2 linked regions of the Stegostoma tigrinum genome follow. The protein of the gene in region 1 purifies or fractionates together with the protein of each later gene. This does not show direct contact. Links are inferred from orthologs where the notes say so. Each region holds a gene or a part of one and is shown on either strand. Other genes may lie near its edges.

What was found.
Region 2: the proteins of hspa12b (region 1) and eef2k purify together in Homo sapiens (affinity purification with mass spectrometry; 3 studies listed by BioGRID and IntAct, with this or other methods). This does not show direct contact. The link is inferred for Stegostoma tigrinum from reciprocal best matches to the Homo sapiens genes HSPA12B and EEF2K.

Annotation. Positions count from the first base shown.
Region 1 is NC_081354.1:187,832,006-187,848,599, forward strand, and holds the start of hspa12b (heat shock 70 kDa protein 12B), read left to right. Parts: upstream 1-8,113; 5' UTR 8,114-8,431; intron 8,432-8,700; exon of another isoform or gene 8,701-8,787; intron 8,788-14,343; 5' UTR 14,344-14,363; coding exon 14,364-14,391; intron 14,392-16,594.
Region 2 is NC_081376.1:34,080,271-34,096,513, forward strand, and holds the start of eef2k (eukaryotic elongation factor 2 kinase), read left to right. Parts: upstream 1-8,315; 5' UTR 8,316-8,422; intron 8,423-15,941; 5' UTR 15,942-16,087; intron 16,088-16,243. UniProt on the Homo sapiens protein: Threonine kinase that regulates protein synthesis by controlling the rate of peptide chain elongation.

The sequences.
Region 1 (16,594 bases):
TCACAGCCTCACTTCCTCACTCTCTCACCACCTCATTCCTCACTCCCTCACTCTCTCACCACCTCATTCCTCACCCCCTCACTCTTTCACTGCCTCACTCTCTCACTGCCCCAGTCTCTCACTCTCACTCCCTCACTACCCCATTGCCTCACTCTCTCACTGTCTCGCTCACTCACTATCTCACTCACTGTCTCACTGCCTGGCTTCCCCACTGTCTCACTGCCTTACTCTCTCAGTCTTTCTCTCACACTCTCCCTCTTCTCTCTCAGTGTCTTGCTCTCTCGCTTTCACTCACTTTCTCTCACTATCTTTCTCTTTCTTTCTCACTGCCTGACTTGCTCACTGTCCCTTTCATTATCTCTCTCTCTCTCTATGCCCCTCCTTTAGGACCCTCCTCTGTAACAGATCTGTTTGCCTCACCAATGTTCTCTTGAGCTAATACCTCCTTAAATGGCGAGTGTGAGATTCAGAGTGCTCGCTCTCCCGTTAATCTGGGATATTTCCCTGTTTTCAAGCTGCTACATAAAGCACATTGTTGATGGTGAGATCTGAATATTTGGTGACTTCAACAGGAAGGCCAGGCTGGGTCGAGCCTTGTACTTTTATTGAAAACACATCCCACTGTCAGTTAAAAATAACTTCCATGGATCTTTTAGACACCTCCAGCCTCGAAAATCAGGGAATCTTTTCCAAAGATATTGGCTGGGTGTAGCTGGTGGGGCCCCTGGGTGCCCAATGGAGGTGGTCGTGGGTTTGGAAGGTGCTGTCTGAGGATCTTTGGTGAATTTCTGCAGTGCATCTTGTAGATAGTACACACTGCTGTTGCTGAGCGCCAGTGGTGGAGGGAGTGGAGTGTTGAAAGTGGTGGATGGGGCACTGGTCCGGGGCTATGCTTTCTCCTGGATGGACACGGACTCTCACTGCACAGAAACAGACCCTTCGGCCCAACTCCTCTGTGCTGGCCAGGTATCCTAAAGTGATCTAGCCCCATTTGCCAGCATTCAGCCCATATCCCTCTACACCCTTCCTATTCATGTACCCAACCAGATTCCTGTTAAATGTTGTAATTGTTCCAGCCTCCACCACCTCCTCTAGCAGCTCATTCCACACACACACCTCCCTCTGTGTGAAAAAGTTGTCCCTTAGGACCCTTTTAAATCTTTCCCCTCTCTCACCTTAAACTCATGCCCCTCTGGTTTTGGATTCCTCCTGCCCTGGGGAAAAGGCCTTGTCTATTCACCCTGTCCATGTCCCTCAGGAATTTATAAACCTCTATAAGGTCACCCCTCAGCATCCGACGCTCCAGGGAAAATAGCCCCAGCCTATTCAGCCTCTCCCTGTAGCTCAAGCCCTCCAACCCCGGCAATACCCTTGTAAATCTTTTCAAGCTTCACAACATCCTTCCCATAGCAGGGAGACCAGGATTACACACAGTGCTCCAATAGTGGTCCGAACCAATGTCCTGTAGAGCCGCAACGTGGGGGTTTGGATGTGTGCGTGGGATAGTGGGTCTGAGGGTCAGCACTCTGGGGAGTGCGGGTTTCCCTCCCTCTCGAGTCCTGCCCCATGAGTACAGACTGGGAGCTCCAGCTCTCTGTTAAATGCTGTTTGAAAGTTTACAATGTACCCTGTGTGAACCCTCCCCGCAACTCGATAACGCTCAGCCAAGGGCTCCACTTCGCATCGCGAGAGCTTATATCACAGCACTTGCTCAGACTAAAGAAAAGTACATCTCCCTCTACTCTTTTAAACTGAAAGGAAAGCTCTCTCTACACTGTCCCCATCACACACTCCCTGGGACAGGGACAGCACGGGGTTAGATACAGAGTAAAGCTCCCTCTACACTCTCCCCATCAAACACTCCCCAGGACGGGGACAGCACGGGGTTAGATACAGAGTAAATCTCCTTCTACACTGTCCCCATCAAACACTCCCCAGGGACAACGTGGGGTTAGATACGGAGTAAAGCTCTCTCTACACTGACCCCATCAAACACTCCCAGGACACAGACAGCATGGAGTTACATGCAGAGTAAAGCTCCCTCCACATTGCAGATTGATTGTAACACAGGTAGAGTGTGGGGTGAGAATATGCCCCGGTCTCTGACAGATGGGAAGTGTGTGTTGGGAGGAGCAGCCTGTGACTGAGTTGGAATTCCTGTAGGGTGCAGCCCGCCTCTCCCTCGGGAGCTTCGTCAGACTCCCCTGCATTCAGCACGGGATATCGGACGGAAATGAAGTCTCTGTATACTGGGAGAGGCGGGTCAGGCGCCCATTGTTCCACAGCACGCAAAGCTGCTCTCAGAACCGAAGAACAGATCAGGCCTGCAGCATCAGAGCCTGGGTCACAGCCCTGGGCAAGGGTGGGGGGCTCGACAGGCCGACCGTCACACACAATTACTCAGAGAGACAAGAGATTGGAGATACAGTGTCCTGAGAGGGGATGGAGAGAGAGAGAGAGAGACCATGAGACAGAGAAACAGACAGAGGGAGAGACAGAGGGAGAGACAAAAGACAGAGAGAGAGTGGGAGAGACAGAGACAGAGAGAGAGAGGGAGAGAGGGTCAGACAGACAGAGAGAGGGGGAGAGAGAGAGAGAGAGACTGGGGGACAGAGAGAGAGAGAGAGACAGAGAGAGAGAGATTTAGAGAGAGACAGACAGATAGAGAGAGAAGGAGAGAGACAGAGACAGACAGAGAGAGAGACAGACAGACAGAAAGGGAGAGAGACAGACAGAGTGAAAGAGAGACAGAGAGAGAGAGAGACAGAGACACAGAGAGAGAGGGAGAGACAGACAGACAGGCAGAAAGAAGGGGAGAGAGAGAGAAAGACACTGGGGGACAGAGAGAGAGAGAGAGAGAGACAGACAGACAGAGAGAGAGAGAAGGAGAGAGACAGAGACAGACAGACAGACAGACAGAGAGAGAGAGACAGACAGTGAGAGAGAGACAGAGAGACAGACAAAGAGAAATGGAGAGAGAGAGAGACAGAGAGAGAGACAGACAGACAGAGAGAGAAAGAGAGAGAGGGAGACAGAGAGACAGACAGAGAGAGGGAGAGAGAGAGACAGAGAGGGAGAGAGAGAGACAGACAGGGAGAGATAGAGAGACAGACAGACAGAAAGAGGGAGAGACAGACAGAGAGAGGGAGAGAGAGACGGAGAGCGCGAGACAGAGAGGGGGGGGAGAGAGAGGGAGACAGACTGACAGAAGAGAGAGGGAGAGAGAGAGAGAGAGAGACAGAGAGAGAGAGAGGGAGAGAGAGAGACAGACAGACGGGCAGAGAGAGAAACAATGAGAGTACCACTTGACTGGAAGAGGTGTGGAGAGAGATTAGAGAGACGGATGATACTAATGACAGGGAATGAGAAAGGAAGAAATGGAGAGGAGACAGAGAGAGCATTCAGTGAGGGGAGTGCAGGCTGACAGCAGTGAGGGGAGTAGGGAAGGGAAGGCTGATGGGTGAGGGCGTTCAGTGTGAGGAGTGAGGGGTATGAGTTCTGAAGGGGTGTGAGGGGGTGAGGGGGAAGGTGAGTGCTGTGTGAGGGGTAAGTGGGCTGAGATAGGTTTGAGTGAGCGCTGAGGGAGAGTCTTTGATAGATCAACAATTTTCAGTTCCACTCACCAACTCCCCCTCCTCACCCCCATTTCTCCACACCTGTTTCTCCCCCTCCCCCTGTGTCCCCTCCTGTTCCCCCTCCCCATTTCCCCCTCCCCATGTGTCCCCTCCTGTTCCCCCTCCCCATGTGTCCCCTCCTGTTCCCCCTCCCTATGTGTCCCCTCCTGTTCCCCCTCCCCATTTCCCCCTCCCCATGTGTCCCCTCCTGTTCCCCCTCCCCATTTCGCCCTCCCCATGTGTCCCCTCCTGTTCCCCCTCCCCATGTGTCCCCTCCTGTTCCCCCTCCCCATTTCGCCCTCCCCATGTGTCCCCTCCTGTTCCCCCTCCCCATTTCGCCCTCCCCATGTGTCCCCTCCTGTTCCCCCTCCCCATGTGTCCCCTCCTGTTCCCCCTCCCCATTTCGCCCTCCCCATGTGTCCCCTCCTGTTCCCCCTCCCCATGTGTCCCCTCCTGTTCCCCCTCCCTATGTGTCCCCTCCTTCCCCGTTTCTTCTCGCTGTTCCTCCCGTTTCCCCCTCCCCATTTCTGCCCCTTAACCCGTGTACTCTCCTGTTTCTCCCCGAAACCCCCGCACCTCCCCCCCCCCAGGCCCCGCCCCGGCCGTGCTGCATCGAGGGGCTTAATGTTTTCCAGATTGTGGAGAGTGAATTGATCCCACTGTCTCCTGGCTCCAATCCAATGAGGAAGAGAGAGAGAACACTAACAAGGCCTAGCCTTTCCCAGGGCCAGGATTAACGCTTTCCTCGGCCTCACCGCGGCATCGGGGGTGTGACAGGAACCAGAAACCCCACTCAATCCCAGCCCTTTCAATCCCGTAATGCCCTTGCTCAGCTAAACACCTCCCCCACCCCACCTCACCTCATCCATCCACTGAGGGCTTCTGTATTCACTCCCAGGATGTGGCAGTCTCTGGGCTGGGCCCAGCATGTCTTGCCCCATCCCTAGTTGCCCCTTGAGAAGGTGGGGGCGGGGGGTGAGCTGCCTCCTTGAACCGCTGCAGCCCAGCTGTTGTGGGGTGACCCTTAGGGAGGGAATTCCCAGGATTGTGACCCAGGGCGAGTGAAGGGACGGCGATACATTTCCACGTCAGGGCAGTGAGGGGTTCGGAGGGGAACGTGCAGGGCGTGGTGGTCTCGTGTATCTGCTGCCCTCGATATAAAAATGGCGGAATCGCCTGGACGGTGTCAAGTTTGAGATTTCCTGTCCTCGTCTCTGGAGTAGAGTCGGGGAAGGGGGGGGGGGGGGCGCGCGGTGGTAGGGTGTGGGGGTGGGGGCAGTGAGGACCCAGGTTTGGAAACTGCTGTAGATAACTGTAGGAAGATGGCCCAATGCGGTTTGGGATAGGGTTGAGCCTGGCAGGGGGTGGGGGAGTGCCTGGGGGTGTGGACTTGGGTGGGTGTGGGGGGCCGTTCTTATTGTGTTGAAATGTGGGGCTAGCACCGAGATCACATACTCATCGTCAGGTGCACTGAGGCTGCAGGAGATCATAGAACCTTCTGGATCTGTCCCTCTGATGGTCGTTACGGATGATATTGGAGGCTAGGAAGTGGAGCCTGTGTATGTGACCAATGAGAGGGTCTATGGTGGTCCCAATTTTGAGCTGGAGGAAGTTTGTACCTGCCTAGAAATGGGGTTTGGGTTGATTCACGAAGTAAGAGTGAGAGACCTGGTGGTGAGCTCGGGGGTTGGGGGGGCGGTGGTGGTGACTGGTTTCAGTGTAGGGACAGCATCTTGTTTTTGGATAATACCCCTGGGGCATCTAGGACCTGGGAGGGTTCGCCGAACGCTCTCGCGATGCCTGCGGGAGAAAGGCACAGGAGCAAGCGAAGAGCCAGTTTCCTCTGGATCAGGGCAGAGACATCAACTGAGCAGAACCCAGACTGCGTCCAGTTCTGGGCCCCACACCTCAGCAAGGGGCACTAGAAAAATTCCATCGCTGTGCTTCCACTACATTCTCCAGATCCAATGAAGTGCCATCAAACAAGCATAAACATCGTTAAAAGCAGTTCTACAGACTTTCCGAACTAACTCCAATAGACTGGGGATGCTCACAGCAGAGAGAGGGACAGACTCTCCCCCTGAAGATGGAGGGCTCAAAGATCAGCGTGCAGGGTGTCTAAGGAAAGAGGCAGGAGGTTTAGTGGGGATGTGAGGAATCCCAGCGGTGAAGGGGAGCCTGGAACTCCCTGCATGTCAGGGTAGGAGAGGCAGAAGTCCTCAGCACATAGACAAAGTGTTCAGGTCTGTACTTGTGATGCCAAGTGCTGGGACATGGGATTAGAGCAGTGAGGTGCTTCAGAGAATGCCTACAGTGTGCAAACAGGCTATTCAGCCCATCAAATCGGCAATGACCCTCCAAAAGAGCATCCCATGCAGACCCACCCATCCTCTTCCTGTGAGTGTGTGTTTACCATGGCCAATCCACCCTAACCTGCACGTCAGTGGGCTGTGGGAGGAAACCTGAAACCCAAGCAGGCACGGGGAGAATGTGCAAACTCCACACAGAGGGTGGAATCGAACCCAGGTCCCAGTGAAGCAGCACACAGCCCCTTCACCCTGCTCCACAACCAGGTTCAGCTGCTTGGAATAAATTCATAGAAAGAGAGGGGCTGAGACTGTGTCACCATCTGGTGAGACTGGTGGGACTGACATATGAAGAGATACTGCATTAGGACTATATTCACTGGAATTTAGAACAATAACGGTGGGAGTTCTCATCAAAACCTATATCACTCTGGCAGGGCTGGACAGGGGTAAACATCGGAAAGATGTTCCCGAAGATCGGGGAGTCTAGAAACAGGAAGGATACAACGGTAATCCATTTCGGACTGAGTTGAGGATAAGCATCTTCACACAGAGAATGGGGGGCCTGTAGAATTAACTATCACAGAAAGCAGGTGAGGCCCAAACATTGAATCTTTTCCAGAAGGAATCACACAGAGTTCTTGGGGTTAAAGGGATCAAAGGGATTTTGGGGAGAAAGTGGGAACAGGGAATTGAGATAATAAAATGTGAGGCTGGATGAACACAGCAGGCCAAGCAGCATCTCAGGAGCACAAAAGCTGACGTTTCGGGCCTAGACCCTTCATCAGAGATCAGCCATGATCTCACCAAAGAGCACGATAGGCTCAAGGGGCTGAATGGCTTACCCCAGTTCCCAGTTTCTATGTTTCTAAGTTGTATAAACCCTTCCCAAGTTTTCATAATATCATCTTTAGACCTCCTTTCCATAGAAATTAATCGTGGCTTTTTAATCCAAAATGGGGGTCTGCGGTTTGCACTATTTGAGGTGATGGTGTGGGCCTTAGTCTGATGGGGTGTGAGTACGTAAACATTGGGGGTGAGGGTCACTCATGTGGAGGAGCTTGTTTCTTTTTAATTCACTGATTCAATGATGCCATCACTAGCTAAGCCAGCATTTATTACCCAGGGGGCAGTTCAGAGTCAATCACATTGCTGTGGGTCTGGAGTCACGTGTAGGCCAGACCAGGTAAGGATGGCAGTTTCCTTCCCTAAAGGGTATTAGTGAACCAGATGGGTTTTTCCCTGACAATTGTCTTATGGCCATCATTAGGCAGTACATTCCAGACTAATTACACCGACAGCCCTGGGGAAATTGTGAAAATACCACAAGGACGTTGGCTCATGTGTGGGTGGCAGTTTAAGACTGTACGTGTGTGTGTGTGTGTGTGTGTGTGTATGTGTGAGGGAGTGAGAGAGAGAGGGTGAGTGTGTGTGTGAAAGAGAGAGGGTGCGTGTGTGTGTGTGTTTGTGTGTGTGTGTTAGAGAGAGGGAAAGAGAGGGTGTGTGTGAGAGAGAGAGTATGTGAATTGTGTGTGAGGGAGTGTGTGTGTTTGTGAGTGTGAGGGTGTGTGTGTGAGGGAGAGAGTGTGTGTGTGTGTGAGGGAGTGAGTGTGTGTGTCTGTGTGAGGGAGTGAGTGTGTGTGTGTGAGGGAGTGTGTGTGTCTGTGAGTGTGAGGGTGTGTGTGTGAGTGTGAGGGAGTGAGAGTGTGTGTGTGAGGGAGGGAGTGTGTGTGTGAGGGAGTGAGTGTGTGTGAGGGAGGGAGTGTGTGTGTGAGGGAGTGAGTGTGTGTGAGGGAGTGAGTGTGTGTGAGGGAGTGAGAGTGTGAGGGAGTGTGTGTGTGAGGGAGTGAGTGTGTGTGTGAGGGAGTGAGTGTGTGTGTTAGGGAGTGAGGGAGTGTGTGTGAGGGAGTGAGTGTGTGTGTGTGAGGGAGTGAGTGTGTGTGGGAGGGAGTGTGTGTGTGTGAGGGAATGAGTGCGTGTGTGTGTGTGTGGGAGTGTGTGTGTGTGTGTGAGAGAGGGAGTGAGTGTGTGTGTGAGAGAGGGAGTGAGTGTGTGTATGAGGGAGGGAGTGAGTGTGTGTATGAGGGAGTGAGTGGGAGTGTGTGAGGGAGTGTGTGTGATGAGCTTGTACCGTCTCTCTCCCCGAGTCAGCCTGATGCAGCTGTCGAAGGGTTAATGCGGTCTGGGCGAGGCTGCCTGTTTCGCTCAGGAAGGGGCTGCTTTGGGGAAGCTGTGCTGACCTCCCGAGGAGCCCGTTTACACTCTCCTCCCTCGAATGAACATCTCTGAAGGAGCTGGCACACAGCCCTGCTCCCCGACAGCAAACTGACCATCTCGGGGCAGGCCCCCAGCTCACTTTGGCTGGAGGGGAGAGAGAAACAGGCAGAACTTCGCAGGACACCATTGGAACAGGCTTCGCAAACTCATTCGATCCTCTCCAACATCTCCCGGTGGCACTGCATTCCCAACCTAACACAGAAAGTACAGGGAATGTTGTAGATAAAGGACCAGGTAAGAATGTAACCCCGGGTCTGCTCAAAACTGAGCTTCTCTCCTCCAGCTGCAGCTCTCCCTCACAGCGAGATATTCCTGATCTTTAACCATTTCAATGTCTCAGGTTTGACACGGGAGGGATGGATGGATGGATGGATGGAGGGAGGGGGTGAGGAAGGGAGTGATGGATGGAAGGAGGGAAGGAAGGGGTGGTTCCCAATCTCTCCCTCCCCTCACTGCAGTATTCACTGCACTAACGCTGTAGAGTCAGTCTTTATACAGGAACAGAGGGACTACCCCAGGCTGGGTTATTAACCAGGACACATCATCCAAATCTGACTGGATTCTGCTTTACCCCAGTCACCAAATCGTGGGTCAGTACTGAGGGAGTGCCGCACTGTCGGAGGGTCAGTACTGAGGGAGTGCCGCACTGTCAGAGGGTCAGTGCTGAGGGAGTGCCGCACTGTCGGAGGGTCAGTACTGAGGGAGTGCCGCACTGTCGGAGGGTCAGTCCTGAGGGAGTGCCGCACTGTCAGAGGGTCAGTACTGAGGGAGTGCCGCACTGTCGGAGGGTCAGTACTGAGGGAGTGCCGCACTGTCGGAGGGTCAGTACTGAGGGAGTGCCGCACTGTCAGAGGGTCAGTACTGAGGGAGTGTCGCACTGTCAGAGGGTCAGTACTGAGGGAATGCCGCACTGTCAGAGGGTCAGTACTGAGGGAGTGCCGCACTGTCAGAGGGTCAGTACTGAGGGAGTGCCGCACTGTCGGAGGGTCAGGACTGAGGGAGTGCCGCACTGTCGGAGAGTCAGTACTGAGGGAGTGCCGCACTGTCGGGGGGGTCAGTACTGAGGGAGTGCCGCACTGTCGGGGGGGTCAGTACTGAGGGAGTGCCGCACTGTCGGGGGGGTCAGTACTGAGGGAGTGCTGCGCTGTCGGAGGGTCAGTGCTGAGGGAATGCTGCACTGTCAGAGGGTCAGTACAGAGGGAGCGCTGCACTGTCGGAGAGTCAGTACTGAGGGAGTGCCGCACTGTCAGAGGGTCAGGACTGAGGGAGTGCCGCACTGTCAGAGGGTCAGTACTGAGGGAGTGTCGCACTGTCAGAGGGTCAGTACTGAGGGAGTGCCGCACTGTCGGAGAGTCAGTACTGAGGGAGTGCCGCACTGTCGGGGGGGTCAGTACTGAGGGAGTGCTGCACTGTCAGAGGGTCAGTACTGAGGGAGTGCTGCACTGTCAGAGGGTCTGTGCCATTTGAGTAATGCACTGTGGTAATTGAGTCTTTGCCATGATCCATTATTCCCACGGTCTAATTTTGTGTTTCAGTTGCATTTAAAAATCCCACGAGCTGTCTCTTGGATCTCGGGATTTTCCGTCCGTGTTATTTTCCTGGAATTAGTTTTGCCATGAGGGGAAAAGTCTTCGTCCCGAGAGCGGGGAGCCTGTGGAATTCTCTGCCAGGGAAAGCTTTTGAGGCTACAGCATTGAATGTTGTTAAGGAATTAGATATCGTTCTTACAGCTAAAAGGATCAACGGGAATCGACGGGGGCGGGGGGGAAGCAGGAACAGGGAACTGAGTTGGATGATCAGCTGTGATTGTATCAAATGGGGGAGCAGGCTGAATGGGCCGAATGGCATATAGCTGCTCCTGGTTTCTACGCCCAGGGTTGATATCCCATCCTCAATACAACTGCGCCCTGAACAGTTGTTGTAGGAGTTGGGATCTTGCTGTGTATCAGTCTGCCATGGCGTTCTGTAAGAAATGACCGCACTTGAAAGCACAGCTCACAGGTTCTGACATTTCGTGGTAACCTTAACTTTTTGAGTGGCCTCCCGTGCTGAAGGGGAACTTTCCTGCGCTATCCCTCTCTACCTGCCTTTCGCTGCGCCATCCTTCTCTACCTGGCAGAGTGGGATGGGGGTGGGGGTGGGTGTTGTGGAGCGCTGGGGGTGTGTGGGGTGGGCGAAGATGGGGAGGGTCTGCAACGCACCCGGATCCATTCTGATCCACCCGATCGCAGCCAGAGGATCTCTCACAACAGGCTTCTCCATCCCTGCTCCCACACCCTCATGTCTGCTCCCCACCCAGCGATCAAATCCCGGGCCCTGCCCTATTTCTGCCCCTCTGGCCCACTCCCTGAGGAAGGCAGTCAATGCCCTCCCCTCAGCCCTGGTGCGGCCCGTGAACGCCGATCACCATGCCGATGGACAGTCTCTGCTTCCGGAAGCTTCTGCCATGATGTGGAGCTATTATGGGGAAGGTTAGAGGCTGTTGTTGCTGGAGAATGGGGCAGTATATGGGAACCATGCAGAGGATGGTGGGTGGATGATCTACATCCCTCCCATAATGATCCCCACCCACCAGCTCTGAGTTACTCAGAGACTATGAGCCACAGAAAACTTCAATACAAACAGATTTCGGGAGTTGGGGGGTACCTAGTACATGAAACACAGCAAGCTAGTGCACAGGGGGCAGCAGGGAATCAGGAAGGGCTAAGGGAAAGTTGTCCCTTATTCCACAGGGATTGGAGCAAAGAGTACGGAAGTCTTATCACAGCTGTACAAGGTGCTGGTGAGGCCACATCTGGAGAACTGAGATAGCAAGGTGTGGAGCTGGAGGTACACAGCAGGCCAAACAGCATCAGACGAGCAAGAAAGCTGACATTTTGGGTCTGGACCCTTCTCCAGAAGAAGAGTCATTTCTGGAGAAGGGTCCAGAGCCGAAACGTCAGCCTTCCTGCTCCTCTGATGCTGCTTGGCCTGCTGTGTTCATCCAGCTCCACACCTTGCTATCTCAGATTCTCCAGCATCTGCCGTTCTCTGGAGTATTGTGAGCAGTTTGAGTCCCCCTGTTTAGGGAAAGATATTTTTTCATTGGAGGCAGTTCAGAGAAGGTTGACCACAGTAGTCCCTGGGATAGGGGAGTATTTATGAGCAAAGGCTAAACAGATTGGCTCATCATCACTGGAGTTTCAAAGAATGAGAGGTGACCTCATTGAAACAGATCAGATTCTTAAGGGACTTGACAGGGTAAATGCTGAGAGGATGTTTCCCCTCGTCGGAGAGTCTAGGACCAGAGGGCATTGTCTCAGATTATAGGGGCACCAGACTGAGAAGAGGAACGATGCCATCTCTCAGAGGTCTGTGCGTCTTTGGAACTGTGGGGGCAGAGTCCTTGTGTATATGTAAGTCTGAAACAGATTCTCCAACAGTTGGACAATGAGGGGTTACAGGGAAAGGGCAAGAAAGTGGAATGTGAGGAATGTTGGATCAGCTGCGATCCTATTGAATGGCCTGCTGTGTTTTTGTCCATTTCTCATGAGTGTTTCGGTTCTGTGTCAGTGAGCGGGACAGCGAGGGCATTTCTCAGCAGCTCCTCACTTTCTATAAAATTCACGCTCCAATTCGCACTGACAATCAGAATGGGCACTTGACCCCCCCCCCACGCTCGACACTTATCCTCCAGCACCCTAGACCCACTCCCCAATCTCTCAACACAATCCTAAACCTACCTCCCTCCACCAGACCCTTCCCCTCACACTCATTTCCCACTCCCCCAACTCTCTCCCCTAGAGCCCAGACCTAGAACTTCCACTTCACTGTGCATCCCACCCCCCAAATTAGCCCCACACTCCCACACCCCCACACTCCCACCCGCCCACCCCACAAATCAGCCTCACACTCCCACCCCCCCACCCCACAAATCAGCCCCACACTCCCACCCCCCACCCCCCAAATCAGCCTCTCACCCTACACCCCCACATTCCCCTTAGCCATTTACCCACTCACGCACAGTCATCAGAGAGCCCCTACAGTCTGGAAGCAGACCATTTGGCCCAAAAAGCCCACACCCTCCCTCTGAAGGCCCTCCCACCCAGACACACCTACCCCCTCCCCTATCCTGCATTTCCCACCCTAGACACTAATGGGCAATTTCCCATGGCCAACCCACCCTAACCTGCTCATCTTTGGACCGTGGGAGGAAACCCATGCAGACGCAGGGAGAATGTGCAAACTCCACACAGACAGTCACCCGAGGCTGGAATCGAACCCAGGTCCTTGGCCCTGTGAGGCTGCAGTGCTAACCACTGAGCCACCGTGCCATCCCAGTCTCCTTTCACACCCCCCCATCTTGTCCTTCTAGATGGAAGTGGTTGTGGGTTCGGAAGGTGCTGCCTGAGGATCTTTGGTGAATTTCTGCAGTGCATCTTGTAGATAGTACACACTGCTGCTACTGAGCGTCGGTGGTGGAGGGAGTGGATGCTTGTGGATGTGGTGCCAATCAAGTGGCTGCTTTGTCCTGGATGGTGTCGAGCTTCTTGAGTGTTGTTGGGGCTGCCCCCATCCAGGCAAGTGGGGAGTATCCCATCACACTCCTGACTTGTGCCTTGTAGATGGTGGGCAGGCTTTGGGAAGTCAGGAGAGGAGTTACACACCGCAGGATTCCCAGATTCCAGCCTGCTCTTGAAGTCACTGTGTTTACGTGGTGAGTCCAGTTGAGTTTCCGGTCAATGGCAACCCCCTGGATGTTGACAGTGGGGGATTCAGTGATGGTAACACCATTGAATGTCAAAGATTCTCTCTTACTGGTGATGGTCATAGCCTGGCATTTGTGTGGTGTGGATAATGGCAACACCCATCCACTTAACCATTATCTTTCTGGACTATTCCAATGTTTCTAAATTGTCAGCCTACCACTGGCAGCTGAGCAGAAATTCCCTAAATCATTGAGTTTAGTTCTCACTGCCAACCCTATTCTCTCGCTCCTTACTCCATCCCTTCTGCAGTGCGAGGCTGAACTCAACTCACATTCTCCAGGCCATACCTGACCTCAAGGAGAAAGTTGTGTTGTCTTTGAGACTGTACACTTCCCTTTACCCTGTCTCAGCCAATCAGGGGCTTCAACCCAAGTCCATCCCTCCGTCACCTTCAGACTTGACAGTTTAATGACTGCTCTCCCACGTTTGGGATTGTTACCAGTGTCTGAGCTCACCCCAATCCCTCCTACACTTGCTGACCAACAATGCCCCAATTTTCAAATCTCTCCATGGTTTCTCCCCTCCCTATCTCTGCAACTTCCTCCAGTCCCTAGAACCCTCTGAGATGCCTGCCCTTCTCTAGGTCTGGCCACTACAACAGGCCTGACTCCACCGTCGCCTTCAGTCGCCTGGGCCCCAAACTCTGTGGTTCTCTCCTCAAACCTCTCCATGCCCTCTCTCCTTCACTTTCCTCTAGCGTACAGAACGGTATCTCAGTGGCTAGCACTGCTGCCTCACAGCGCCAGGGACCTGGGTTCGGTTCCGCCCTCGGGCGACCGTCTGTGCGGAGTTTTAGATTCTCTGCGTGTCTGCGTGGGTTTCCTCCCAGGTTAGGGTGGGTTAGCTATTAGAAATGCAGGGACACAGGGATAGGATAAGGAGGTGAGTACGAGTGGGATGCTGTTCAGAGGATCAGTGTGGACTTGATGGGCCAAGTGGCCTGTTGCCACACTTTCGGGATTGTATAAAACACTGCTCTCTATTTGACAAAGCATTTAATCATCTGACCTAAAATCCCCTCATGTTTCTCTGTTGGAAATTGTTTGAGAATGTTCACTCGGACTATACAAGGTCTGGAGAGACTGCCTTGGGTAGGGTGGGCCCGTACTGTTTGGAGTTTGGAAGGCCGAGAGGTGACCTGATTGAAACAGACAAGGCTGTTCGGGATTTTACAGGGAAAACATGGGGAATTTGTTTAGCTCTTTGTGAGACGCTTGCAAGCGGGTGTAATCTCTGAATGAGGGTTCGCACAGAGATGGGGAGGATTAGAGCGATGCTAGGAGTATCTCTGAGTTTTGTACTCAGGCCTGTGGAATGGGCCTGATGTTAGCGGGACACCGCGAAGTGCATTCGAGCAATTCACCGTCAATGATGGGAAAACATTCTGCTGTTTTTCAGGAGTTGCTTTGACTGACAACATGAGCACCAAAGGCAGGCAGAAGACAGGTGAGCACGCCCCAGATCGCGGTCAGATAAAAATATCCCTCACGGAAAGCAGGATCACTGCTGTAGCTTGTGGGTTTTTGATGAAAGAACTGATGGTGGTGGGGCTTGGGGGTGAAATCGGAGCAGAATAAAGCTGCAAATGGAATCTGGGGCGGAGGGAAAGACTTGGAGCGGGGTGCGGTGGAGATGGTTTGGGTATGTTTAGTAGCTACGTTCTCATACAGTCATCAACAAGGTGCTAGACTATGTGAGGGAAGAAGGTTCCTAGAGTCAAACAGCACTGAAAAGACCCTTCGGCCCATCCTGTCAAAAACTGCCCCGAGTCTGCAGCAGCCCCACTTTCCACTTGGAGTGTGATGACATTTTAGGTCTGTCTGCACCTGGTGAATAACATTCTCATATTCGCACCAGTGTGGTTTCCAGTCCCACCATCCAGCCATGGCATCTATGGGCAAAACACAGGAGCGGGTAGAGGATACTGACGGAGATAATGGAGGAGAGAGGGGTGGGGTGTGGAGGAATAGATAGAGCGAGACAACCATACTGTGTGTGAGAGAGAAAGAGAGAGGTAGAAAGCCAGAGAGGAAGCTGCAGAGAGGGGCAGGGTAGAAATAGAGAGAGTGAGAGGGCGATGGGGGGTGGGGGGTGGGGGCGCAGAAAGACAGGCGCTCACAGAGTCAGAGAGGGAGGGTGAGGGTGGTGCAGACAGAGAGGAGACAGTTGGGCAGGGGATGAGGAGAATTTGGCTCACACACGGAGCTGGTTGGTCTCGGTAATTATAGTTGGTGACTTGTCTCCTGAGGGCTCTAACCTCAGCATTCTTCATTTGTGAAGCGGTGCCAGACGGAGCTCAGTCTGGGTCCTTGTTCCCCAAACTGTCACCAAACAGCAGCCTGCAGACAAGGTACAGAGCAGGGACGTGTGCCCTGGGAGCGCAGAGGGGCCAGAACAGTGTCTAACCCCACTCACGCAGTCACGCACTCTCACACACTCACACACTCTCACACACACACACACACACACACACACACACACACACACACACACACACACACACAGTCACTCACTCACTCACACTCTCTCTCACTCTCACACGCACTCGCACTCGCGCACTCTCACACTCTCACACTCTCTCACACACACACTCACACTCTCTCACACGCACTCTCTCACACGCACTCTCACACGCACTCTCTCACACGCACTCTCACACACGCACTCTCACACACGCACTCTCTCACACGCGCACTCTCACACGCGCACTCTCTCACCCGCACTCTCTCACCCGCACTCTCTCACCCGCACTCTCTCACCCGCACTCTCTCACCCGCACTCTCTCACCCGCACTCTCTCACCCGCACTCTCTCACACGCACTCTCACACACGCACTCTCTCTCACACACACGCACTCTCTCTCTCTCACACACACACACACACACACACACACACACACACACACACACACACACACACAGTCTTACACACAAACTCACATGCACACTCTCACGAACTCACACTCACAGACACACACACACACACACACACACATGCACACACTCACACGCACACTCTCTCACGCACACTCTCATGGTGACACACTCACAATCACTCACTCACAGTCAGACGCACTCATACACACGCTCACACACACACACACACACACACACACACACACACACACACACACACACACAGACAGACACATACACACAAGGAGATATGCATTGAGGGACAAATGTGTGTGAGACACTGATATCGCTCCCACAGTGTGAGACAGTGATATCGCTCCCACAGTGTGAGACAGTGACATCGCTCCCACAGTGTGCGACAGTGATATCACTCCCACGGTGTGAGACAGTGATATCGCTCCCACAGTGTGAGACAGTGATATCGCTCCCACAGTGTGAGACAGTGATATCGCTCCCACAGTGTGAGACAGTGACATCGCTCCCACGGTGTGAGACAGTGATATCGCTCCCACGGTGTGAGACAGTGATATCGCTCCCACGGTGTGAGACAGTGATATCGCTCCCACGGTGTGAGACAGTGATATCGCTCCCACAGTGTGAGACAGTGATATCGCTCCCACGGTGTGAGACAGTGACATCGCTCCCACGGTGTGCGACAGTGATATCGCTCCCACGGTGTGAGACAGTGATATCGCTCCCACGGTGTGAGACAGTGATATCGCTCCCACAGTGTG
Region 2 (16,243 bases), on another chromosome or scaffold:
AGTTAGTACTGTGAAAGTGTTGCACTAACAGAGTGTCAGTGCTAATGGAGTGCTGAACTGTTGACTGATCAGTACTTAGGGAGTGTTGCACAGTTGGAGGGGAAATAGTGAGGAACCATCACACCGTGAAAGGCTTAGTACTGAGGGAACAGTGCACTGTTGGGTGACAGCATTGGGAAAGTCTGACACTGTCAGGAGTACTGTCCTTTGGATGAAACATTAAACTGAGTTCCTGTTCACATTCTTAAGTAGATCGCAAAGATCCTGGATATTGAAGTTTAACCTGTAACAAAAATAACTGACCTTGTTTCCAAGCAAAGGTCAAAAAGTCTGAACCCTAATGGGCAGAGGGTCCCATGCATGCAGAGTGGGTCATGCCACCTGCAATAGGCCCAGCTGTCCTTTTACAGATTTGAAGGGCCTTACTATCCTGGTCACTGGAGGTGTGTTGATCTGTAATGAATTCGAGGCGTTTCAAGGCCCAGTGTGTTGAGTGTTATCCCTTGAAAATAATATCCAAGTGTTAATGAGACATTTGTGAGGCAGTGGCTCTAGATGCCTGGGTTAGTTGCTAACAAGTCCTGGGGATTTGTTTTGGTTGCAGTTGCAGTTTAATTTGCAGTGTATTGTTCTTCATCACAGTTTTCCTCATGTTGGTTTTTGATATTAGAGTAAAGACAGATATTGCAAGTTATTTTACTTTCTTGATTTGGTAAAAAAAATATATTTGCTTGTTTAAAACTGTGGAACCTTTGTGGCTTTATTCTATTAATAGGTAAAGGGATTCCCAAACTTTAAAAAACAACCTAACTGTACCATAACCAAACTTGGGGGTGATTGTAACAGGTTCAAAACCACGGATAAACATTTGGTCATTATCATGTTGCTGTTTGTGGGCATTTGCTGTGTGCACATTGGTCTGAAATGGATGCAGCCTCGATACCATTACCACTGGAAGAAGAGGAGGAAATTCCCCAAGATGTTCTGGATGCAAGAGATGGGCCACGGTCCAGTACACGTACCCTGTCTGAGTCCAAGTCAGAGGAACCAGACCTGAGACGAAAGTGGTCCAAGTGAAGCTACAAATGAAGGACTGGGCCTACATCCCCAGACTTAGCGGGAGAGCGATGCAGTGATTGGAACCAAGGGGACCTCAATGACTAAGTGGTTGTTGAATGGGATTGTTAGCATGGGCTAATCAGGAAAGCCTTGGCTGACTGATAATAACTAGGAGATTAGAATCTCCTTGGTTGAGGACTGACTCCCAAGCTGGCTGGCTACAGCCAGTGTACTGTGTACGGTAAATAAAGGGTGACTTGGTAACAGGATAGCAGCCCCTTTGCAGTTATTTCAACTTTTTTTTTATTCACAGAATGAGGGTTTCATTGGTCAGGCAGCATTTATTGCCCATCCTTAATTGCCCAGAGGGCAGTGATAGTCAACCACATTGCTGTGGGTCCGGAATCACACGTAGGCCAGACCAAGTAAGGATGGCAGTTTCCTTCCCTAAAGGACATTAGTGAATCAGATTTTTTTTTTCTTGACAATCATTACATTCTTAATTCCAGATATTTATTGAATTCAAATTCCACCATCTGCCATGGTGGGATTCAAACCTGAGTCCCCCAAACATTACTTGGGTCTCTGGATTAACAGCCCAGCAATAATACCATAGGCCATCGCCTCCCCAGTATACTCCAGATATACAGGAAACAATGGACAGATTAAACATGAATGTAATGGATGGAGCTTCTGACTGCAGTGTTAGAAGGCAGGAGTTTGGCTGCAATACTGTCTGCGGGAATCAAAGAAGGTCAGTCTGTCCACACGAATTGAAAGGGATTGACATGCATCAAATCAGACAAAAGAAAAAGAGGCAAAGTTGACAGAAAGGACTATCAAAAAAAATCTAAATATTATTATATACAAATCAATATTTCTCAAATCACTGCTGTCATCTCATGAGATTTGGTGCCTTCTGCATCTTCTGATTTTCCATATAATCCTGTACTTCTCTATTTGAGTACGTGACAATAAACCTAATTCTAATTCTAATCAGTATACTCCTGATGATTTCTTGCTTTCGGTTTGAAATTTACCTTTTTATTAAATTTGAACCTACACTTGCTGTTTAATTAGAGGTAATGTTTTAGAACATTCCCTTGAGCATCTTAAACACTTCTGTAAAATCATAGTCTCTAGGCCAGACTTAAACATTGCAAATTCTAAATCATTAGAATCAGATTTTTTTTAAAAATAGAAAACTTCCAGCTATTCAACACATTATGTCCTGTGCTGGCAGACAAAGAGCTATCCAGCTTAACCATGCCTTCCCGAAGGCTGGAGGAGACTTGAAGGGGCATTGTTCCCAGAAGTAAATGGAAAGCCCAAGAAATCTTAGCCCATATGCAAATCATTAATAACACAATGACCAAACCAAGTGGTTAATCATCAAAGTTTTGGCACGTCGTTGATTTGAATGTTTAGGGCTGTAAGATAAATGGATAAAAAAGGCAAACTGAATTGGGAAACTTGATTAGAAGTATAAGTAATTGTGTTAATTATATTTTTCTTAACTTTATTGTAATTGAATATTTAAGATTGAATTTAATTATTAAGGTTCATGTTCTTTGATTTGTATTAAGTAAATAGGCTTGTTTAAACAGGGAGCCTTGTGGTTCCGTCTTTTATTAAATACTTGGTTTTTTTGGACTCTTCAGCAAGGTACTGAAAAACAGGGGTTTTGTTGCATTACTTGACTTTGTATTTCAGGAACTATTGCTGGGGGTCACATTCAAACTGTGGTCTAACCAGAATCCTGGTCTGATTGAGCAGGTTAGTATGTTACCTCTTGGGTGACATCATCAAAGGCTGGCTGGCAGAGATTCTGAAGCAGAGAGGTTGTGGTCTGCGTTGGAGCCAATGACATGGGAAGAAAGAGAAATGAGGTTCTGCAAGCAGACCTTAGAGAGTTAGATAGAATATTGAAAAGCAGGACTTCAAAGGTGGTAATCTCTGGGTTATTCCCAGTTCCAGTGTAAGTATGGGGTGGTATGGTCGCTCAGTGGTTAGCACTGCAGCCTCACCACCAGGGACCTGGGTTCGATTCCAGCCTCAGGCAACTGTCTGCGTGGAGTTTGCACATTCTCCCTGTGTCTGCGTGGGTTTCCTCCAGGTGCTCCAGTTTCCTCCCACAGTCCAAAGATGTGTAGGCTAGGTGGATCGGCAATTCTAAATTGCCTGTAGTGTTCAGGGGTGTGTGGATTTAGGGGGAGGGGGATGGGTCTGGGTGGGATGCTCCAAGGGGTGATGTGAACTTGTTGGGCCAAAGGGCCTGTTTCCACACTGAAGGGAATCTAATCTTTAAATAAAAGGAAACAGCAGATAATGTCTAGTTGGAGAGATTACAGAGGAGGGATAGTTTAGGATTACTGAGACTTTGGGACCATTTCTAGGGGAGTTGGGACCTGTACAAATTGGACAGGTTACATCTGAATCAGGGTGGAACTAACATCCTCATGGAGAGGTTTGTTAATGCTAACTCTAAATAAAAGCAAAGTACTGATGTTGGAAAACTGAAATAAAAGCAAAATCTTGGAGAAAATCAGTGGGTCTGCCAACATCTGTGGAGAGAGAAAAACAGTGTTAATGTTTATGAGTTTGCTTCATATCTTCTCTCTCCGAGACACTACCAGATGAGTTTCTCCAGCATTTCTGCTTTTTTCAGGCTCTGACAATGCTGAGAGGGCAGATTTAAACTAGATTGGCAAAGGGATGGGATCCTGAAAAGTAATTCAGACGGAAGAGAAGCTAAGGTAGAATTAAAATTTAAAATGTGAATAAATGAGTCTGGAAGGCAGAAGAAACAGACAAGATAAGAAAGAGATAACACAGTGTGAAGCTGGATGAACACAGCAGGCTGCTGCTCGGCCCGCTGTGTTCATCCAGCTTCACACCGTGTTACCTCAGATTCTCCAGCATTGGCAGTTCCTACTATCCCTGTAAAAAGATAAGAAAGAAATGAATTTAGCCAGGCTAAATGGAATTTATTTTAATGCAAAGTGCCTGAGGAATAAGGTAAATGAGCTGGTACAGTGTATTCAGATGAGATAAAGAGGGGGGTTCAAGAGGAGGCAAATTGTGATATTGGTCAGGAAATCAGTTACAGCAGTGAGGAGGGACAATATCTTTAAATAGTAATCAGATTAGGCCATATCAGTAGGAATAGAAACATAAAAGAGGAAAAGTTGGATGTGTACCACAGGCCTCTTTACAGTTAGGGAGAGATAGAACAGCAAACGTGATCAAATTTCAGGGAAGTATAGGAATAAAAAAGTAGTAATAGTTGGGGAATGTAACTACCCAAATATTAACTGGGACAGTTCTAGTATGCAAGTTAAAGAAAGAACAAAATTCTTAAATTCCATCCAGAAAAGTTTTTTTTAGCCTGGATAAAGGAAGCATGACAAAGCAGGAGGCGGTTCTGGAACTAATATTCAGAAATGAACCTGGACAGGTTAAAGGTCTAACAATACAGGAGCATTTTGGAGATGTGACCATAGCTCATTTGGCTTCAGGATAGTTGTGGAAAAGGATGATAATGGGCCAGAGGATAGGCTAAGATATGATTTGATCCAAGTGGACTGAATGCAGCTATTTACCGATAAGACATTGTCATAACAATGGAAGACATTCAAGCAAAAAATAGAAAGTCTACAGGATAAATTTCCAGGAAGACAAGAGGTAGGACCAGGTCCGAAAATCCTTGGAAGGGACACAAAAGCAAAGGCTTAGAAAATCCCTATGACAGCTCAATATGACAGAGTTGTAGAGGAATATATAAAGTGCAGAGGCAACACAAAAAGGAAATTAGAAAGCTATAGAGCATGCATGAGAAAGTGTTGTTGGGTGGTTTACAGGATATCCCAACCGGGTTCTTAAATGTATAAGCAGAAAGAGAATAATTAGGAAGACATTAGGCCCCATTAGGGAACATGGAGTTAGTCAGTGTATGGTCCCAGAAGACATAAACAGTCCTCAATGAATACTTTGTACGGTCTTCATAATGGAAAAGGACAATATCAGTATTTATATATCTAGATGGAAGACTGTGAAATATTAGTAGAAATGAACACAGAATGCCAGTGGAGGTACTAATGGGTTGAGCAACTGTAAAGTAGATTACTGTAGGCCCAGATGACAGTTGTGGGAGGCAAGGGAGAAGATATCAGGGCTATGGTAGTATATTTCAAAACCTTTCCAGCAACCATTGGAGTGCCAGAGAACTGGATATCTGCCAGCATTGTCCTATTATGAAAAAAAAGAGGAAGGGCTACACCAAGATATTATAGGCTAGTTGGTCTAACCTACATGGTGGGGAAGTAATTAGAGCAAATTCTGAGGGACAGTATATATCTGCGTTTGGAGGGACATGATCAGTCAAGATTGTCAATGTGTACTTGTTCAGGGAACAATATATTTGACAAATTTGATTGCATATTTTGAGGCGGTAACTAGGAGTGTTGATATGATCTACTTGGATTTTAACAATATTTTTAGTAAGGTTCTCTACAGCAGACTGGTCAGGAAAATAAAAATCCATGGGATCCATGACAAAGCAGCATGTTGGATCCAAAACTGGCTGAGAATCAGGAAGCAGAAGGTGATGGTAAAGGGATATTTCTGCGATTGCAAGTTTCGTTATAGTGAGGTTCCACAGGCTCAGTACTGAGGCCTTGCTATTTGTGGTGTATATTAATGATTTTATATGGGATCCACAAAACCCTGAAGGTGGTAGGATGGGTTAATAAGGTAGTCAAGAAGGCATAATGGGACACTTGCCTTTATCATCTGTGGCATAAGTTATAAGAACATGAAGAATATGTCAGAGCTGTAGAGAATGTTGGTTAAACCACAGCTAGAGTAGTTTGTACAGTTATGGTCACCACCCTAAAGGAAGGATGTGATTGCACTGGAGGGGGTACAGAGGGGATTCAGGATGTTGCCTTGGTTGAAGCTCTTCAGCTATGAATAGAGAAAGGATAGGCTCATTTTGTTTTCTTTAGAGTGGAGAAGGCTCAGGGAGAACCTGATTAAGGTGAATAATGTTATATGGGCCATGGGCAGCATGGATAGGAAGGTCCTCAATTGAAGGGTCAATGATGAGGGGACCAATAGCAAAGGGAAGGAGAATTAGAGGGATTTAACAGAAAAGACAAATTCACCAAGAGGTGATGGGAATTTGGGATGTGCTGCTTAGGAGGGCAGTAGAGGCAGGAAACCTCATAACCTTTAAGAAGCATATGGATGTACACTTGAAATGTCACAACATTCAAAGCTATGGGCCAAGTGCTAGAAAGTGCGATTGGTGTAGATAGGTCAGCACAGCCTCAATAGGCTGAGGACCTCTTCTGTGCTGTATGACACTATTTGAACTTCAATGCAGGGGGTAAAATGAAAACATTTGTGGATGATTTGAGAATTGGTTGGGTGGTTAATAGTGAGGAGGATAGTCATAAACTACAGGAAGATATCAATAGATGGATTAGGTGGGAAGAGCAGTGGCAAATGGAATTACCATCAGCAAAGTGTGAGACTTATGGAGGACTAACAAGGCAGGAGATTACACAATGAATGCTAGGATACTTCCACGTGATCCTTAAAGGAAGGTAGATAATGTGGTTAGGAAGGCGTATGGAATACTTGCATCTATTAGTGGAAACACAGAATACAAGAACAAGGAAGCTGTGCTGGGACTGTATAAAGTGCTGGTTAGGCCCCAACTGGAGGACTGTATGCAGCTCTGGTTGCCAGATAATAGCAAACAGGTGATTGTATGAGTGACGGTGCAAAGGAGATGCTGCCCAGGATGGAGATCCGAAGCTGTAGATAGACTGGGGTTATTTTCCTTTGATCAGTGAAGATTGAGAGGAGACCTGATAATGTATAAGATTATGAGGGGCATTGAAAGGGTGAATACAAAAATACTTTTTCAGTTAGTAGAGGGGTAAATAACAAGGAGGCATAAATTTAAGGTAAGGTGTAGAGAGTCAAGGATTTTTTGTTCACTCAGAGGTTTTGGAAATCTGGAAATCGTTACAGCACTTCAAAGAGTGATTGAGTCAGAAACTCTGGCAAGATTTAAGCAGTATTTACACATTTACTTGCCTTGTCACAACTTCCAGGATTCCCTGCCTGGAGTTAGTATTCCTGCATCAAAAGTTACTGGCATCCATCTATACTAGAATGAAATTTCCTCTGAGCTCTGGTGCTCTCTGATTTCTGTTGCAGCACTATTGGCAGCCTTGTCTTCAGTTACTGAGGCCTAATCTATGACAGTCTCTGCCTTAAACTGTTCTGACTCCTTATTGTCCTTTAGGATGCTGCTTGAAACATAACCCTCAGCTGTCCTAACATCTCCTTACATGGCTTGGTCTCCATTTTTTTGTTTCATATCACTCTTTTGAAGCATCTGAGAGCAACTCACTAGATAAATTTAAGAGTGATTATAGCACAGAAGGAGATTATTTGGCCCAGTGAGGCAGTAATGAAAATTACGTAGTCCTCCAGCCAAAAATAACTTGAGGAAAACCCACGGGATAGTGGAAACCTGGGACTCTCTACCCTAGGGGCTATTGAATCAGAAATTGTTGTTACGTTAGAGCAGTATTTTCATTTATGCTCTCGTTGCCTCCAGGGTCAAGTGCCAAAAGCTGGTAAATGAGATTAGTGTAGGCAGATCTTAATTGACCAACGTGGACACAGTGGGCCGAATGGCTCCTTCCTTCTGTGCTGTAAATTGATTAATCCGAAAATGTTTCGAGACAGCAAGTGCTTGAAGAGCTGGAATGCACTGGCTGAAAAAGGTGGTATTTGCACGTTCAATCGTGGCTTCGCTCAGGGACATGAATAAAAATCGAAGGGAAATAAGATGCTGGACTGTGGGGGGAAGGTGGAGAACTGGGACAGCTGGACGTAGATTGCTCGAGCGGAGAGCTGACACAGGCTTGATAGGCTATGTGGTCTCCTTCTTTTCTGCAACAATACAACGATTGTTTCTATCAAAATGTCTTTGGTTATGATCTGAATAGCTAGTTGAACGTGCAATCTTCAAGCTCTATTATTCAAAAAGTTATGATGTGCTTGAATGTTTTGGAAAAGAAAACACTTATGGCAGCGGTGGGATTCGAACCCACGCCATCGAAATGACTGGAGCCTAAATCCAGCGCCTTAGACCACTCGGCCACGCTACCGCAGTGGAGTAGGCGCTTCCCAGCCGGTATTTCCCAGTGTTTGCGCAGCCGCACTGTCTACGTTGTCTGTTGCTCTGGTTGTTTGATTCCGGTTTTTATAGGCGGTGCACGCGGCGCTCGCCAGCGGCCTGAACCCGGGATCAGGTCTTCACCTCCGTCCCCGATTGACGGTAGGTTCGGGTTGTTGGACATTGACCGGGTGCTTTCGGAACATTCGACCGGCAGACTCCAGGCGAGAGGCGTGGGCCCTCAACTGTCATCTGAGGGCTTGTCCTGCCTCAGGAGGTGGAGGGAGAGGGACAGGTGAAGGAAGGCCAGGACAGGTTTAGGTTTAAGTTTAGGTTTAGGTTTAGGCGATGGAGCGGTGGGAGTAGCATGGGGAGACAGACGGGACATAATTAGCAGTAGGGGCAAATAGAGCAGAGGCATGTTTGGCGTCGGTGGGGAATGGTCAGAGGGCAATATTTTATCTGCATGATCGTACTCCATAGGGTGTCAACTCTGATTGTTTTGATTTTAGGACTTGGAGGGTTTTTGAATCCACACACTTCCGTCTTGCAGATAGGGGTGCCACCAATAAACCCTTCCTTATCGAGAATGCTGGTCATCATAACCCAGAACTGAAAACATAGCCATACATAATGAGGTACAATATGCTGGAAAGAAGGGACCATACCCCACTACCTATGAAAGGAAAGTTAAGGCAAATGTCAGGAAGAACTTCACTCAAAGGTGTGGTGGTGGTGGTGTTGGTGTTGGACTGGGGTAGACAAGGTCAGAAGTCACACGACACCATGTTATAGTCCAACAGGTTTGTTTGAAATCACAAGCTTTCAGAGTGCTGCGCCTTCATTACTCAAAGGTTGACAGCTCAAATAAACTTTCAGAGATAATGGGAACTGCAGATGCTGGAGATTCCAAGATGATGAAATGTGAGGCTGGATGAACACAGCAGGCCAAGCAGCATCTCAGGAGCACAAAAGCTGACGTTTCGGGCCTAGACCCTTCATCAGAGAGGGGGATGGGGGGAGGGAACTGGAATAAATAGGGAGAGAGGGGGAGGCGGGCCGAAGATGGAGAGCAAAGAAGATAGGTGGAGAGGGTGTAGGTGGGGAGGTAGGGAGGGGATAGGTCAGTCCAGGGAAGACGGACAGGTCAAGGAGGTGGGATGAGGTTAGTAGGTAGCTGGGGGTGCGGCTGGGGGTGGGAGGAAGGGATGGGTGAGAGGAAGAACCGGTTAGGGAGGCAGAGACAGGTTGGACTGGTTTTGGGATGCAGTGGGTGGGGGGGAAGAGCTGGGCTGGTTGTGTGGTGCAGTGGGGGGAGGGGGTGAACTGGGCTGGTTTAGGGATGCAGTGGGGGAAGGGGAGATTTTGAAACTGGTGAAGTCCACATTGATACCATATGGCTGCAGGGTTCCCAGGCGGAATATGAGTTGCTGTTCCTGCAACCTTCGGGTGGCATCATTGTGGCAGTGCAGGAGGCCCATGATGGACATGTCATCAAGAGAATGGGAGGGGGAGTGGAAATGGTGTGCGACTGGGAGGTGCAGTTGTTTGTTGCGAACTGAGCGGAGGTGTTCTGCAAAGCGGTCCCCAAGCCTCCGCTTGGTTTCCCCAATGTAGAGAAAGCCGCACCGGGTACAGTGGATGCAGTATACCACATTGGCAGATGTGCAGGTGAACCTCTGCTTAATGTGGAATGTCATCTTGGGGCCTGGGATGGGGGTGTGAGTAATGAAGGCGCAGCACTCTGAAAGCTTGTGATTTCAAACAAACCTGTTGGACTATAACATGGTGTCGTGTGACTTCTGACCTTGTCTACCCCAGTCCAACACCAACACCACCACCACCACACCTTTGAGTGAAGTTCTTCCTGACATTTGCCTTAACTTTCCTCTCACCCCCATCCCAGGCCCCAAGATGACATTCCACATTAAGCAGAGGTTCACCTGCACATCTGCCAATGTGGTATACTGCATCCACTGTACCCGGTGCGGCTTTCTCTACATTGGGGAAACCAAGCGGAGGCTTGGGGACCGCTTTGCAGAACACCTCCGCTCAGTTCGCAACAAACAACTGCACCTCCCAGTCGCACACCATTTCCACTCCCCCTCCCATTCTCTTGATGACATGTCCATCATGGGCCTCCTGCACTGCCACAATGATGCCACCCGAAGGTTGCAGGAACAGCAACTCATATTCCGCCTGGGAACCCTGCAGCCATATGGTATCAATGTGGACTTCACCAGTTTCAAAATCTCCCCTTCCCCCACTGCATCCCTAAACCAGCCCAGTTCACCCCCTCCCCCCACTGCACCACACAACCAGCCCAGCTCTTCCCCCCCACCCACTGCATCCCAAAACCAGTCCAACCTGTCTCTGCCTCCCTAACCGGTTCTTCCTCTCACCCATCCCTTCCTCCCACCCCCAGCCGCACCCCCAGCTACCTACTAACCTCATCCCACCTCCTTGACCTGTCCGTCTTCCCTGGACTGACCTATCCCCTCCCTACCTCCCCACCTACACCCTCTCCACCTATCTTCTTTGCTCTCCATCTTCGGCCCGCCTCCCCCTCTCTCCCTATTTATTCCAGTTCCCTCCCCCCATCCCCCTCTCTGATGAAGGGTCTAGGCCCGAAACGTCAGCTTTTGTGCTCCTGAGATGCTGCTTGGCCTGCTGTGTTCATCCAGCCTCACATTTCATCAAATAAACTTTCAGATAGGTTAGCAAAAATGTAAACCATAAGCTCTTTCAAGCTTAAGAAATAAAGAAAGGGAAAAAATCCCTGAGAATTAAAGGGAAATTATTTTCTCTTTGAATGAGGCATCCAAATCTGATGCAGACAAAGAAATTTTTGGAATAATCATAGAATTACAGAATGAGAAAGTATTGAAGGAGTCACTTTGGTCCGATGTGCCTGTGCCACTTTTTAGAAAGAGCTGTATTACTAGTTGCACTCCCCTCTGTTTCCCCATAACCCAGAAAAATCTTTCCCTTCAAGTATATAAGCAATTGCTTTTTGAAAGTTATGATTGTATTTGCTTCTTACGCCCTTTCAGGCAGCATACCCTACATGATAACTAGCTGTGTAAAAAATGTAGTTTCTCATGTTGAATCTGCTTCATTTAATAGATGTTAATAAGGACAACTTGGCATGGTTAGATTCACAATTGTTGTTGCTGGTGCTCAGTTCAATGTTGGGTAGTCTGCTGGTTTCATTCCTTTGTTTAGACTTTAGTGTTTGGTATAACTGCGTGGCTTGTGAGGCTTCAGAGAGCATTTAAGAATTAACCACATTGTTGTGGGTCAAGTAGGCCAGGCCAGATAAGGCTGGCAGATTTTCTTTTCTAAAAGGAGGACATTAGATCCAGATGGTTTTTACAATCAACAATGGTTTAATGGTCGTCATTAGGATAGCTTTTAATTCCTGATTTATTAATCAAATTCAAATTTCACCATGGTTGGATTCAAACTTGTGTCCCCAGGGATCGGTTTGGATCTGTGCATTGTCACATTACCATCGGGTCACTGACTCCCTTTAAGGAGCATTTTTAAGGAGGGAATGCCAGAGCTTAAGCTGAGTAAGATGAAGGCACAACCATCAATAGAGTGATGAAAACCAGGGACATGATTGGTCAGAACTGGAGGTGAACAAAGATCTTGAAAGGTTGTCGGGCTATAGGCTGTTGCAGAGATAGGAACCATTGTGTGATTCAGGTGATGCTTACAGATTGTTAACTTGTGCAGGTGGAGGGGTCCAGAAGTACCTTGCAGGTCTTTGTTCACAGTAGGAGATTGGCCCTTTAGTTGGATTAATTCTTGTAATCAAAAGGACTAAATATGCCTTTAGAATAGAGTAAGGAATAAGACCATAAGATGTAGCAGCAGAAGTAGGGCATTTAGCCCATAAAATCCACTTCACCATTCAACGAAATCATGGCTGTACTTGTAATTCTGAACTCCACTTTGCTCCCTTTTCCCATAACCCTAGATTCCCTGACTGATTAAAAATGAGACCATTTCAGTCCTGAATATACTTAATGACCCACCCTCTACAGCTATCTGTTTCATTACTCTGAGAGGAGAAATGCCTTCTTATCTGTCCTATCTGGGTGACCCCTGATTCTGAGATTATGTCTCTCATTCTAGGTTCTCCCACATGAGTAATCAAAACCTATATTCCCTGTAAACCACGTGACCACTCTGATGTTCAGCGACTGGCATAAACATGCCAGTCATGGCATTGACTTCTGTTTCCAGAAGTTGCTGCCACTCACACATTTCAGGAGTTCATGCAGTTCACAAAATTAGAGGGAAACCTGATCAAGACCCCTAGGAATCTTAAATGAAATCAGAAAGTGCTGGAGAAACTCAGCAGATCTGACAGCAGGTCTGAGAGAAAAACAGAGTTAATGTTTTGAGCTTAGTGAAACTTCATCAGAACTGGAAGGGTCACTGGGCTGTAAATGTCAACTCTATTATTTCTCTGTACTGATTGCTACCAGACCTGCAGAGTTTTTCTAACAATACCAAAATGAACTAGAGGAGGGTATAGATGGTCTGATTAGCAGGTTTGCAGATGACACTACGATTGGTAGAGTGGCAGATAGAGAAGGGGACTGTCAGAGAATGCAGCAAAATAGAAATAGATTGGAGAGTTGGGCAGAGAAATGGCAGATGGAGTTCATTCCAGGCAAATGTGAGGTGATGCATTTTAGAAGATCCAATTCAAGAGTGAACTATGTGGTAAATGGAAAAGCCTGGGGAAAGTTGATGCACAAAAAGATCTGGGTGTTCAAGTCCGTTGAACCCTGAAGGTGGCAACGCAGGTTGATAGTGGTCAGGAAGGCATACGGCATGCTTTCATTCATCGGATGGGGTACTGAGTACAAGAGTTGTCAGGTCATGTTACAGTTGTATAGGACTTTGGTTCGACCACATTTGGAATACTGTGTACAGTTCTGGTCGCCACATTACCAAAAAGATGTGGATGCTTTGGAGAGGGTGCAGAAGAGGTTCACCAGGATGTTGCCTGGTATGGAGGGTGCTAGCTATGAAGAGAGGTTGAGTAGATTCGGATTATTTACATTAGAAAGACGGAGGTTGAGGGGGACCTGATTGAGGTCTACAAAATCATGAGAGGTAGAGGCGGGCACGATAGCGTCATTTGAGATGTATCTAGACAGATACATGAATGGGCAGGGAGCAGAGGGACACAGATCCTTGGAGAATAGGCGACATGTTTAGATAGAGGATGTGGATCGGCGCAGATTTTAGGGGCTGAAGAGCCTGTTCCTGTGCTGTAATTTTCTTTGTTCTTTGTTCCTGTTTTTTTGTTTCAGGTTTCCAGCATTAGCAATTCTTTGTTTTATTTTACCCTACGAATCGTATAAAAACAAAGAACAGTATAGCACAGTAACAGGCCCACCCAGCCTGCACCAACATATGACACTTTTTGAAACTTAAAACCTTTTTTTGCTGTGCAGTCTGTGTCCCTCTATTGCCTGCCTATTCATGTATTTGTCAAGGTGCCTCTTAAAAGTTGCTTTTGTATCAGCTTCTGTCACCCGCCCCCGGCAGTGCAATCCAGGCACTTAGCCACCTTCTGTGTAAAACAAAATGGTCCTCTGTCATCTCCCTTAAGCTTGCCCCCTTTAACCTTAAACCTGTGACCCCAAGTAATTGACATTTCTACCCAGGGAAAAGGACTTTGACTATCCATTCCATCCATGCCTCTCATAATTTTGTAAATTTCTATCAGGTTGTCTCTCAGCCTCTGGCATTCAAATGAAAACAAACCGAGTTTGTCCGATCTCTCCTCATAGCAAATACCCTCCAAACCAGGCAACATCCTGGTAAACCTTTTCTGTACCCTCTCCAAAACTTCTGCATGCTTATAGTAGTGTGGTAACCAGAACTGTACACAGTATTTCAAACGTGGCCCTAACTAAAGTTCAATGCAGCTGCAACATTACTTGCCAATTTTTATACTCCATACCCTGACCAAGAATGCCATATGCCTTCTTGACCACCTTATCCACTTGGTGTTGTTACTTTCAGGGAACTATGGACCTGTACGTTTAGATTGGTCAGTGTGTTAATATTTCTAAAGGTTCTGCTATTTCCTGTGTAAATCTCTTTCAGCATTAGACCTTCCAAAATACATCACTTCATATTTGTCAGGATTCCATCTGCCATTTCTCCGCTCAACTCTCCAGCCTATCCTGCTGTATCCTCTGACAATCCTCCTCACTATTTGTAGCTCCATCAATCTTTGCGTTGTCCACAAACTTACTAGTCAGACCACCTATATTCTCCTCCAAATAAATTATTTACTGAAAACAACAGGGGTGCCAGCACTGACCTCTGCCTTACACCACTGATCACAGATCTCCAGCCAGAAAAACACCCTCCCGCTGCTACTTTTTGTCTTCCATGACCAAGCCAGTCCTGTATCTGTCTAACGAGCTCACCATGGATCCCATGTGACTTCACCATCTATATCAGTCTGCCATGAGAGATCATGTCAAAGGCCTTTCTAAGGTCCCTGTAGACAACTATCCTAGTCCTCATGAATCATCTTTGTCACTTCCTCAAAAAACTCAGTCAGGTTTGTGAGATACGACCTCCCCTGCACAAAGCCATGCCTGTTGCTAATAAGTCCATGTTTTTCTAAATGTGATTGAATCCTGTCTCTGAAAATCTCCTTCAATAATTTCTCTGCCACTGATGTAAGAATCACCAGCCTAAAATTTTCCACATTATCCCTGGTGCCCTACTTAAACAAAGGAAAAACATTGGTTACTCTCCAGTCCTCTGGGACCGATTTTCTGTGACTAAAGAGGATGCAGAGATTTCATATAAGGCCCCAAAAATTTTCTCCCTGACCTCCATCGGTATTCTGTGAGGATCTCCTCAGGTCCTGGGGACTTGTCTACCTTAATGCTTTTCAAAACACCCAACACAGTTTTTGTATTGACAATTTCTATATGTTTCAATAGGGTCGCCTCTTGAACTTCTAAATTCCAATGAGTACATGAGAACCCACTCAAGCTCTCCTTAAAGAACATTCCTCCATATCCAGGATCAAATAGTCTTCTCTGACCTGCCTCCAATTAAAGTACAACTTATCTTAGTTAAGGGCACTAAAACTGTTCTCAGTATTCTGGAAGTGAAGTTCATGTTTTGAGTATTGAAGGTGTATTCCAATTTGAGTTACTGACACTAAGAATAATTGAAGCAAATCTCCATCGAGAGAAGTTTAAAAAAAAAGCTGGAAATACTCAGCACATAAGGCAACATCTGTGGATGGAAACAGAGTTAACATTTCAAGTTGGTGACGTTTTAGCTAGTGAATATAAGCTGTTATGTAGAGACCCAGATAATGGCAGATGGTGAAATTTGAATTCAATAAATATCTGGAATTAAGAGTCTAATGATGACTGTAAGTCTAATGTTGATTGTTGGGGGAGAAAAATCCGTCTGGTTCACTAATGTCCTTTAGGGAAGGAAACTGCTATTCTTACCTGGTCAGGCCTACATGTGACTCCAGACCAACAGCAATATGGTTGACTCTTAACTGCCCTCTGGGCAATTGGGGATGGGCAATAATTGCTGCCTAGCCAGCGATGCCCTCATCCCATGAATGAAAAAAAAAGTGACTGCTTTTTGTGCTTTTATCTTTCAGTAGCCCACTTACATAGAAGGAACACAGAATGTGGATTTTTGATTCTATTCTCAGAGTTGCTTCATCTTCCCAATTTACATGTCAACTTCTGATCATTGTGAGCTGCTTGTTGAAGACTTTCTGAGACCTGTGGAGTCACTGCTGTTGTAAGTGTTGCCACACTTCTGTTAAATAATTAGGGAACTGATTTGTGTGGATAATAAAAATGGGATCGATCATTTGGGCAAAATGGCCTGTTTCTGTGATGTATTTATATGCATAAATTTGTTAACAAATGTAAATTACTGCAGGTGTTGGAAATC